Oryctolagus cuniculus: one gene and its partners. The protein of the gene in region 3 interacts with the protein of the main gene of each other region in a pairwise test. Links are inferred from orthologs where the notes say so. Each region holds a gene or a part of one and is shown on either strand. Other genes may lie near its edges.

Region 1 (3,500 bases), on a different chromosome or scaffold from region 3:
CCTGGAGCTCCATTTCCAATCCAGCTCCCTGCTAACGTGCCTGCCACAGCAGCAGAAGATGGCTTAAGCACTTGGGGCCCTGCCACCCACGTGGGAGACCTGCATGGAGTTCAAGTCTTCAGCCCAGCCCAACCCAGCCTATTTACAGCCATTTAGGGAATGAACCAGCAGATAAAAGATCTCTCTTCTCTCTGTCACCCTGCCTTCAAATAAATAATTCTTAAAATAAAAAAAGGAGAATTCATAACTTAGAACTGAGACTGTGATGTTATAAATTCAGAACTGTTATTGCTTCATTTGATTAAGTGGCAAAGCCGCACAGACTCCCCCTGAACCTAGACCCAGGCCCACAGCCTTCCCAGGACACCTCACCTGTGGCCACATCATCTTCACGCTCATCACACGTCCGTGCTGTGATCCCAAAAGCAAAGGAAGATACCTTTGTGGTGCTTTCTGCACAACAGACCTGAGTGTTTGTGTCACAAGCCTTCCCCAATGCCAATTACTCCGGCAACTCAAAGCAAGATCACACAGGCTGCACCTGTTAGGAATGTTCTAGCTAGAGCCACAAGGTATAGAGGCAGGCAATTCTCAAAAAGGCAAAGTAGGCAGGCACAGGCTAGCACCAGTAATACCGGCAGTCTCCCCTCATCTCCTGGGTAAACATTCCAGGAACCCCCCCCAGGCCACGTCTGCAAGTGCAGATCCTCTGTCTTCAACACACAGGCCTGGGACACAGTTTACAAACTACGCACAGCAGCAGTAACCTGTAGGAAGGCCGGGTGACTGTCACACTGCAACAAAGCTAGGTGCCCTGGTCTCTCTCGGCACAGCTCAGGGGACTGTACTCACCCTCCTGCTGCCCGCCTTCCCGGCAGTGGGAGACGCGCTTGGGGCGCCTTCCTCTCTCCTTCAGCAACTTCTCCCACTCTGCAGGAAACTCCACGGCCGCCGCCTCCTCACCGGAGGCCGCCCCTCCAGGAATGCTCCCGGTGTTCAGTCCAAACCTGCTCCTGAACCGGTGCAGCCAGCCCTTACTCGCGGTGAACGGCTTTCTCTCCAGGAGCCCCTCGCCCCTGTCGGGGGACCCCCGGCTGCAGTCCGCGTACAGGCTCAGGGCTTTCTGCCGCAGCACGCTGCCATGGATCGCCACGCGCCTCCTCTTCATGTCTTCCACCCACACACTAAGCTCCTTTTCCATCTTCACCAGGCGCTTGTCTCGCACTGTGGCCGTGACCTTGGCGTTCTGAGGGGCCACAGCGAAGCTCGCGCGAATTTCCTTCTCCTTCTTCACGATTTCACGGATAGACGATTCGTTCTTACTGTAGATCTTGGCAACCTCGGCATAGGACTTTTTCTCTTTCCTTATTAAGTCAAGGACTTTCACCTTTTCACTTAAAGGAAGCACTTTCCGGCTTCTCTTTGGCAGGTGCGAATGGCCGGCATCCTTACTCTTGCGCTTTGGGGCCATCCTTAAGCAAGATAAGAAGTGGAAGACGAGCACTGTGAGCTCCCAGGCAGTCCATCTGATTAGCAGGAGGGCTACCGCGTGGCCAGCAGGCGGGCAGCAGACACAGTGTGGACACACTGCACACAGGGACGACTCATGGCCTCAGCGGGACGGAGGGAGACATCACTGCACTACTCACAACCTTACAAACTTTATCTGGAACTTTTCCATTTAATATTTTTGGCCCGCAGCGGACCGCGGGTAACTGAAACCGCACACAGTGTGGCCACAGATAAGAAAGGCTACTGCGGGGCTTCCTGAGTCTGCTGGGTCCTCTTCCCATTCACGCAGCTTCCTCAGTCTTCCATCCTGAACGCCTTGGTTTTCGTAAGATGCTTTGTCTCCCCAGGTTTTCTCCTGCATGAGCTTCAAAGATGAACTTAATTGGTCTGCCGCTGTTGCTTTTTGTATTGTTTATTCTTGTTGGCTATTGTTTAATAGATGTGCTGTCTTCTTTTATCTCTGAAAACAGCCTCCAGCCATTCTCTGAAATCTTCCTGTGTTTCTTGTTGGAGATCCATTTCAGGAGTTAGGTTTATCTGTGTCCTTGCTGTCCTGATCTGCTGTACCTCAAAACAAGCCAATAATTAATTCCATATAAATGTTTCTGCTTGACTACACTTCTGCTTTAACTTACTGATCCTTGCTGTCAATACTCAACAGCACCTACAGTGGGGTGGGTACTTTATAATGAGTCACGGGAAGACAGCTCTTGAGGATTCACACACTAACAAAAACCAAGTTTCTTAATATTTTTTATTATGCTGTTCTCTAAAGTATTTCCAATTTCAATATATTTCTGCCTTACAACAAGCTTCAGGTCAGATTGGTAAGTGTGAGAAGGAACCATAACACTGAACTTGGTTTTGATTACATTTGTGCCCCTATTTCTTGCTCCATTTCAAACTTATAACACAATCTCTGATCAAGAAGAAAATTCAAGGGATTTTAACTGAACCTCTCCATTCTATTATGTCATAAATGAGCGAGTCCAACTAGGAAGATTAGCTGTCTTGCTGAGCTTACCCTAACAGTTTTACAACAAGGGACTAGAATCAGTCTCTTCAAATTCCTACTTGCCCATTCATGCACAATAATAAGCCAAGAAAAGCAGGTTTAAAAAAAAAAGGAATGAACACAAGGTAAATAATCATACAATGACTAGAACGTTAAGACTAGGTAATCTCTGAACAATTAACTGTCACAAATCATAAGGAAACTGAAACAAAAGTGTAACATCCTTTTTGTCCATAAAGCAAAAATGATAGTGGCCACTGAAGAGTATTTTATGTATCCACCCCAGTCACACTCTATAAAAAAAGAATTTGGCTCAAGGAAAAAATATGAATTATTACAGACCAACCACCTAGATGAACACATTACCTACGTGAACAAATACTGCTGGCCAGCCAACAGGCAAACATCTCTCCTTTTAACAACAAAAAATGGCCTGAGCTTAATACAACTGTGGACTCACAACACAAAGACTGAACACTCAACCAGGAGGAAATGTATTTAAGTAGGTCATAGACCCCGTGATTTTCTTTCCTTCTGCACAAATTCCTGCAGATTGCTAAGCTTTTCTCAGTTGTTTTTACTTGCATTAAACAATTAAGATCTACCCTGCACATTTACTTAAGGATGGTGAGATGACCTTTACGACTGCAAAATTCTAACTTTCTTAACTGTTTTGCACTAGAAAAGTCATCACTAGAACCTTCCAAGTTTGCTGAGTGGTCTGCCCCCAGGGTGTTGTCCCTGGAAGACTAGACACTACTTAAGGCAGGTAATGGCATTCAACCTTGTAATTATCCAACAGGCTTAACAGTGGTTAAAAAAGAACGAATACTTTTACTCAAAAACTCTTCCATCCAAATTAAGTTTTGCCCTCTACCCCAAAAAAACACAGTAGGATCCCCCTGTGCTGTAGCCCTTCTTGTCCTGGGCAGGCAATGTGTCATGGTTTGAGTCCTGGCTGCTCTGCACTTGG
Region 2 (3,035 bases), on a different chromosome or scaffold from region 3:
CGACCCTGCGGCGCCCCACCCGCGTGGCCCGCGCCAGCCAATCAGCGCGCGTCTCCGGGGAGGTTTCGCTAGCCGGAGGGGGCGGTGCCGCTCGTGATTGGCCAGAGCGCGGAGATGGGCGGGGCGCCGGTCATGGCGGGGTTTTTGGATTTCAAACCCGCCAGGCGGGCGGGAAAGCGAGCCAGAGTAACTGACCCGGGGGGAGAAAGGTCAGGAGCGGAATGGCGGGCGCGGGCTGCTCCGGGCTCTCAGCGCCTTCAGGGTGGAAGGGAGAGAAGGGCCGGGCCCTCGCCGCGCGCTCAGCGAGCGCACCGCCGAGCGACGTTTGAAATAAAACGCGGACGCGGGTGTGGCTGAGGGAGCTGGCGCCTTTCTCAGTCACCCCGCGCCGGCCCCGCGGATGGGGGGTGTCCACCACGTGGGGACCGAGGACTTGGCACCTGCCTGAGGCGCCCCCCTGAGGAGCGCGCCCGGCCGAAGAACGGCGCGAGGAGAAGCAGCTGTTTTTATTTTTTAATTTTTCAGAGTAGTCAGGGCTACGGATCCGACCAAACGGGCCCAGTGAGGGGGTCGCGGGGAAAGGCGGGCCGCCGACTTGGGTTCCAGGGACGGCCCCGTGGGAGAGGTGACCGTGCACCCAAAGAGGACGCAGGGAGCCGGGGCTGCGGAGGGGCAGGGGCCCTCAGGGGCGGGCGCAGGGGGGCTCCGACTGGGGAGGGGTCGCCCTCAGGGGAGGGGTCGCCCTCAGGGGTGGGCGCAGGTGCGCAGTGGACCCGGGGGGGCTCCGCCTGGGGAAGGGTCGCGGTGGGCCTCCCGGCTCACCGGCGCCCTCTGGCGGCGGTGGGGGGTTCTGCTCCCTGCGTGGAATAGTCACTCCCATTCCAAGGGTTCAGGGGTGTCCCTGGCACCACACCGCACCCCCAGTCCCCAGCCAAGAACCACACGGCTAGGTGCGCTGTTTTAACGACACCCTAAAATGGAACAGCAGCTATGGAGGAGAAGGGTCCCCAGTACCCCCCTAAGGCAGGTCATTGCAAAGGCACTTGTGGGGGGGGCTTCAGGCCTCTCCGGTTTCTTCATGTAAAATCGGGGGTGGGGTAGGGCAGTCCCAGGAGCAAGAGAGGCAGGGGGACCACCTCCCCACCCCCCACCCCCAGCCCATGCTGGGAAAGGAGGGTGCTGGGAGCTGGACACTGGTCACACACATGTGCACACGCACACACACGCTCTCCCTGCGTATCTGTAGTCAGGGCCTGGGGAGACGGCGGCCCCACACTTGAAGAGCAGCGTCCTCTCGCTCCTAGCTGGTACGGAGCTGATAATCTGCAGAGGAATGAGAAGCTGAGGATGGGGGAGGGGGCAGCCCCACCCCCAGCCCAGCCCACCCCAGCAGGCCCCAGCCAGCGTGACCAGCCCAGCCAAGCAAGGGGCTACTACGTCAGAGTGCCTGCATCTAGGAGACCCGGTTCCCGCTCACACACACCCCCAGGAGGCGGCAGTGGCCCCAGCACGTGGGCCCCCGGCTGCCACCCACGTGGGAGACCCGGGCTCACTTCCCGGTTTCTGGCTGCAGTCTGGCCCAGCCCCGGCCACCCTGAGCGTTTGCGGAGAGAACCAGCAGATGGAAGAACTCTCTCTGTCACTGTGCCCAGGACAGCGCGGCCAGAAAGGGCTGCCCTGTTAGGCTGGGAGCTGTTAGAGCCAGAGCGAGGGCCAAGCGCGCGTCCCCACCGCGTCCCATCCCCTCGCCCCGCAGCCCTGGGGGGCCCGGCTTGCTCACCGCCGCTCTGTGTGATGTAGCGGACCCAGGGCAGGGCCTGGTACCCACTCTTCTCAATGATCTTCATGTACCGGACCTGGTAGGGGAGGGGACAAAGCGAGGGGTCTGGGCTTGGGGGAGCGGAGCAGCCGGGGCCGGAGAAAGCAGCAATGGTGGCCCAACCTGGCAGGAAGCAAAAGGGTGCAGGCAGGGGTGGCCCCGCACAGGGGAGCAGGCAGGCTGGGGTGGCTCCCACATGGGGAAGCAGGCAGGCTGGGGTGGCCCTGGTGGGGGGGGAGCAGGCAGGATGGGAGCAGAAGGGGAGAAGGCAGGAAGGATGGGGGGGCGGGGGGATGGGAGAACTGCAGGGACCTGAGCTAAGGACAGGGAAGTGGGGGGCAGCCCGGGGCCCAGGAGAGCCCCTCCCTGCCCACTGCCCTCACCTGGATCCCGGAGACGGTGAAGTACGGGATCTCAAACTTGACCCCGATGGGGGGCCGGCCCTCCACCTCCTCCTTCTCCACACTGGGGAGGCCGAAGTGGGCGCGCATGAGGTACTCCTTGCCCCCCTGCGGGTACACGGGGGCATCAGACACCCCAAGGGGGCCCCTCCGCACCCCACCCCACCAACATGGGAGACCCGGATGGAGCTCCTGGCTCCTGGCCTCGAGCTGGCCCAGCCCTGACCATTTGGGGAGTGAACGGGGGGGGGGGGGGTGGAAGATTCTCTCTCTCGCTGCCTTTCAGGTGAACACAATATTTGTAAAGGGGTGGGGGAGGACTCTGACCCCAGGGCGGGAGGTGAACCCACACCCCTTCGGCAGCCTCAGTGTCCCCGCCCGCCCGCCCCGGGCTCACCGGGAAGGACTTGATGCTCCAGATGACCACGTTCTTCTCGGGCACGTACTTGGCGCTGCCCACGCTCGTCTTGAAGCGGGGGGAGTCGGCGTCGCTGGGCACAGGCACCGAAATCTCCACGCCGTTGGCCACCGACTGCTTCTTGAACTGGCCCTTGGCCTGCCCGGCGAGAGACGTGGGGCATGAACAGACCCCTCGCGGGGCGGGCGTGGGGCACGGTGCTCAGGGTCCTGCTTGGGGTGCCCACGCCCTGTATCATGGCGGAGCCTGGGTTCCAGCTCCCTCCTGATGCCTGCCCTGTGAGGTGATGGTCCAAGCGCTTGGGCCCCTGCCACCCACGTGCAGGACCCGGATGGCACTCCAGGCTCCTGGTATTGGTCTGGCCCAGCTCTGGCTGTTACAAGCATTTTGGGAGTGA
Region 3 (4,402 bases):
AGGTAAAGCTGCTGCCTGCAGTGCCTGCATCCCATATGGGCACTGATTCCAATCTTGGCTGCTTCACTTTTGATCCAGCTCCCTGCTAATGTGCCTGGAAAGGCAGCGAAGGATGGCTCAAATCCTTGGGCCCCTGCACCCATGCAGGAGACTCAGATGAAGCTCCTGGCTCCTGGCTTCAGCCTGGCCCAGCCCTGGCTGTTGTGTCCATTTGAGGAGTGAACAAGCAGATCGAAGATCTCACTCTCTGTCTCTCTCCTTCTCCCTCTGTAATTCTGACTTTAAAATAAATTAATTAATTTTAAAAAAGAAATAAAAATGAAAACAGTCTCAACAAAAACAAATGGGAAGAGGTGGTCGTTGCACCATTCTGTGAATGTACCAAAAGTGCCACTGTTCACTATAAAATGATTAATTTTATGTTATGCAAATTTCACCTTAAAAAAGTTGTGTTTTAGATGAGATATAGTTAATCATTTGATAAATATGGACATAGCCAAGATTCTCTAAAATTCAGGATGGTGAAAACTGAAGTCTGTATAGGAGGTCACAGAAAAGTAGACAAGATGGAGTTCAAGAAACAAAAACAAACAAGCAAGTATTTGCTGATGTGCCTTAAAAAGTCAAATTCCTGCCACAAAAACAAAACTATTTCTCTGGAGAGCTCCAGAAATAAGCAAAGCCATGATGGAATTTAAGCCCACATCATCTTTCTACCAGATTAAATCAGACAAGTCACTGGACATTCTGAAGACTTAGGGTCGGCCCAGGGCCACTGTTGAACAACAAAGCTCCAGGGTCAGAGCGCATAATCACTCTCACTTGGCCCAGTCCAGAGAGGGATGTCCCTGCATTTCGGGAGGGCCTCCCGCACAGGATGATGTATCTAGATTTAACACAGCCTAGTTTCTGCCAGATACAGGTTGTGAAAGTCCCTCTTCTATTCCTCCCTCCTCCCCTCAGTTCCCCAAAAGGCAAAGACTGACGTAAGATTAATAGCTTGGGTAAAATAAGGGCAGAAAAAAATTAATAGGATCTTAATTTTAAACGGCTCTCTGGGAAATGGTGGCCAAATTAGAGCTGATGAACTCACTAAGCCCTTCTTTTCACATAAATTTGAGATTCACACATTTAAGGTTCAAAGTGAAAAACTGGCCCAAATTAACAGAATTATAAAGCAGAAAGGTCATTCCAATAATCTTTTTTTTAATAAAAATAACGGGAGAGGTGCTGTTTCCATTTCTAATTAAATATTCAACAACAGTGAAAAGACAACAGTATCTTTAAATATCATTTGGCTCATAAGAAATTATCAAACCCTGAAAAGCCAAAATCACCTGTGATTTCTATTTAAATACAAGAAACTGCAAAGTTAATACAGTAATACACAGAAAGAAAGCTCAAAGTTTGACCTCCAATTCTTAACTGAAATATCATAAGCCCGGAAAATGTAAGCCTGGGAGGAAGGGAAGAAGGAATGGAGAACCTGTCCTTGGTTCAAACCCGCACCTGAGACATACTACTTCACAATATGGGCCTTAAAGGGGAAGACAAACAAGGATGAGAGACCTGAACGTCCCGGACTCAAAGAGAACGAGTGAGCTTTACATCCATTTTGCCACTCAACGTGGGCAAGGCTGTTGGCAGAACACAGGCGCCTGTCTGCTCCCCTGGGGACTTCCAACTGCTAAGCTACCTGCGAAGGCTTCTCACCTCCCCACCAGGCTTAGTCATCCTTACAACGTGTTACCTGCACCTCCTTCACCTGCTGCCTTCTATTATTACTGTGTGAGTGCACCCCGAGGCTACGCTGCGGACCTACACCGGGCGGGAACTAACCGTTCCTCATTAAGACCACCTTCCTTCTTAGTCATTCTGCCTTTCCGAGCGTATTTCTTTACTTTTGCTTTTAAACCACAATACTATGTGGTAACGGAGTTTGACAGTTAAAAAAAAAAAGGCGTATTTTCTGAAAGGTCAAAGTTTTACGAAACATCCACACTTCATAATGAAGCGGCCGAGCGAGCACAGGAACAGCCTGGCCTCCCCTGCTATGAAAACAACCCAGCAGCTTAAAATCTTTGGATTCAGAGAGTATGAAAATAACAGGAAGTTCCAATTTCTGAACTTCTGCCTTCGTCTGCAGCCTTCCCCAAGCCAGACTGTTCCTGCTAAATCCAGAAAAGAAAAAAAAAAAAAAATCCGAGCAGAGAATGTACCGCTTCCCCTCTCACATCGGGCCGATTCCGGAGGTTTCCCTAAAAGTGTCAGGAATGGCTCTTCTGCTTCCAGGTGGGAGGCCTCCATTACGAGATAAGGGAGAGGTGTCCCCAGCCTCAAGTTACGGAGACGCGCGAGGTGTGTCCATTAACGGGCAAAGCTTCGGGGGAATCCCTCTTGCCTTTCGCTCGCTGGACACGTCCCAGCCTCTCAATGCACGTCGGCGAAGGGGGAAGAAGGAAGGTTCTCCCCTCGGCCTCCGGCCACACCCCTGGCCTCTGGCCCGTGCGAACCCCGACTTGGAAACAGACCTCCCCCCACGCACCTCGAGCTGCCACCCCCGAGGATTCCCTCAGCCCACCACAGCCACCGCGGCGGAGACCTCTCCTCCAAGCCTTTTCCTCACAACGGTCACACCCGACGGCTGCCTCCACCCTCAACGGTCACGCTCCTAAGATTTCCTCGCCTCCGCTCGCCTTCGACTCAGCCTGTGGATCTCCTCCCTCTCCCCCACCCCAATCAATTAAGGAACACACACCCCAGAGTCAGCTGCCTTGAACTCACCGGAGGCAAGGGCGGGGGTGGCGGGAGCAGCCAGAGAGCACAGCCCGGGTGGTGTTGTAATGGTTTCCTGCCCGTCACGATTCTTTCTCTAGGTCTAAGCCACTGCGCAAAACCCACTTTGCCAGCGACAAAGATGGTGGGCCGGAAACCCTGACGTCAGAGAACCTCGCCGCGTGACGTAGTCGGAGTGCGCGGGAGAACCAGAAAGGCGGCGACCCGTTACCTTGGAGACGAAAAAGCGTCCTGCCCTCCCCTCCCCCACCCAGCCTTGGTTCAGGCAAGGCTTGGAGACCTGGGCCTCAGAGGATGGTTAATGGCTATTCCAAGGGATATATTAAACAAGCTGAAATTCGCTGGAATTGTTTCCTCGCAAGGAATTGAAGTATCCTGTTCCCTTCTATTAAAAAAAAATTAAAACATCGGCTAATTTCCCTGGCAGGCGGTCCAGCAGAAAACAACAGTGATCCAGCCCAGAACTCATAGGCAGTGATGCGAGGAAAAGAGGTTGAGGCGGCATCATGTGAGTTCGTGAGTTCAATTCCCTGCCCCGGTGCGACTGGGAAAGTAGTTTAATAACCTTAGTCTTCTTGTCTTGTGAAGCTTAAATGAGATAAAGAAGCACTATGCTGAGAATGTAGTAGACCTACTAACACAAAAGTAAGGCGCTTTCGGGAACTACGCCCTAGATTCTAAGATCTAAAACTGGAGGAAAAAGTTGACGAGGGCGCAGGAAACTGTCAGCGAACCAGGCTCTCCCTAAGGTTTATGTGAGGGTGTGAGGGAGAAGAGAGAGGGTTGGGGTTTTTTCTTCCAAATTTTTGCCCATCAATTCTGGGAGTATCAAAATAAAATATTTTGAAGTTTCATTCTGCAGGAAGTAATTTGAAGTATATAAAGACTTCATATAACACTTATGTATTATTATGCTGTTATTAACATAGGAGAAGTTGGAAATTAAACATTTGTGATAAATTAGAGAACTGTATAATGTTGTCGAAGAATATTTTATAATGCAAGAAAATCTTGATAAAACGGTTAAGCTTAAAAAGTACACAAAACAATACCTGCGACATGACTGCATATGCAAAAAGGCTGGAAAAATAGGGGCTGGCACTATGGCGCAGCAGATTAAAACCCCAGGCTGCAGTGCTGGCATCCCATATGGGCGTCAGCTAAAGTCCTGGCTGCTCCACTTCCCATCCAACTCCCTGCTAGCGTACCTGGGAAGGCAGCAGAGGATGACCCCTGCACCCACGTGGGAGACCAGGAAGAAGCTCCGGGCTCCTGGCTTCGGATTGGTTCAGCTCTGGCCATTGTGGCCATTTGGGGAATGAACCAGAGATGGAAGACCTCTGTCTTTCAAATAAATAAATTTCCTTAAAAAAAAAAAAAAAAAGGAGGGGCTAGAAAAATGTTCAACAGAATGTTAAAACTGATTATTGCTGGATGAGCAGAGTTTTTGTTAAAGATTTATTATTTGAAATGCAGAGTTACAAAGAGGCAGAGAGAGTGAGAGAGAAAGAAAGAGAGAGATCTTCCATCCGCTGGTTCACTCCCCAGTTGGCCCCAACGGTCAGAGCTACGTCAATCAGAAGCCAGGAGCCAGAAGCTTCTTCCC

What was found. The genes of interacting proteins can lie anywhere in the genome.
Region 1: the proteins of AP2B1 (region 3) and GTF2I interact in binary tests that used the Homo sapiens proteins (3 or more experiments, as listed by UniProt). The link is inferred for Oryctolagus cuniculus from reciprocal best matches to the Homo sapiens genes AP2B1 and GTF2I.
Region 2: the proteins of AP2B1 (region 3) and AP1M2 interact in binary tests that used the Homo sapiens proteins (3 or more experiments, as listed by UniProt). The two-hybrid records come from large-scale screens. The link is inferred for Oryctolagus cuniculus from reciprocal best matches to the Homo sapiens genes AP2B1 and AP1M2.

What each region holds. Positions count from the first base shown.
Region 1 is NC_091450.1:49,792,679-49,796,178, forward strand, and holds part of GTF2I (general transcription factor II-I), read right to left. Parts: intron 2,074-3,500; 5' UTR 1,472-2,073; coding exon 853-1,471; intron 1-852. UniProt on the Homo sapiens protein: Interacts with the basal transcription machinery by coordinating the formation of a multiprotein complex at the C-FOS promoter, and linking specific signal responsive activator complexes.
Region 2 is NC_091447.1:66,911,940-66,914,974, reverse strand, and holds the end of AP1M2 (AP-1 complex subunit mu-2), read right to left. Parts: intron 2,777-3,035; coding exon 2,618-2,776; intron 2,329-2,617; coding exon 2,203-2,328; intron 1,857-2,202; coding exon 1,781-1,856; intron 1,324-1,780; coding exon 1,301-1,323; 3' UTR 501-1,300; downstream 1-500. UniProt on the Homo sapiens protein: Subunit of clathrin-associated adaptor protein complex 1 that plays a role in protein sorting in the trans-Golgi network (TGN) and endosomes.
Region 3 is NC_091448.1:39,031,220-39,035,621, forward strand, and holds the start of AP2B1 (AP-2 complex subunit beta), read right to left. Parts: upstream 2,956-4,402; 5' UTR 2,785-2,955; exon of another isoform or gene 2,546-2,784; intron 2,539-2,545; exon of another isoform or gene 2,220-2,538; intron 1-2,219. UniProt on the Homo sapiens protein: Component of the adaptor protein complex 2 (AP-2). Adaptor protein complexes function in protein transport via transport vesicles in different membrane traffic pathways.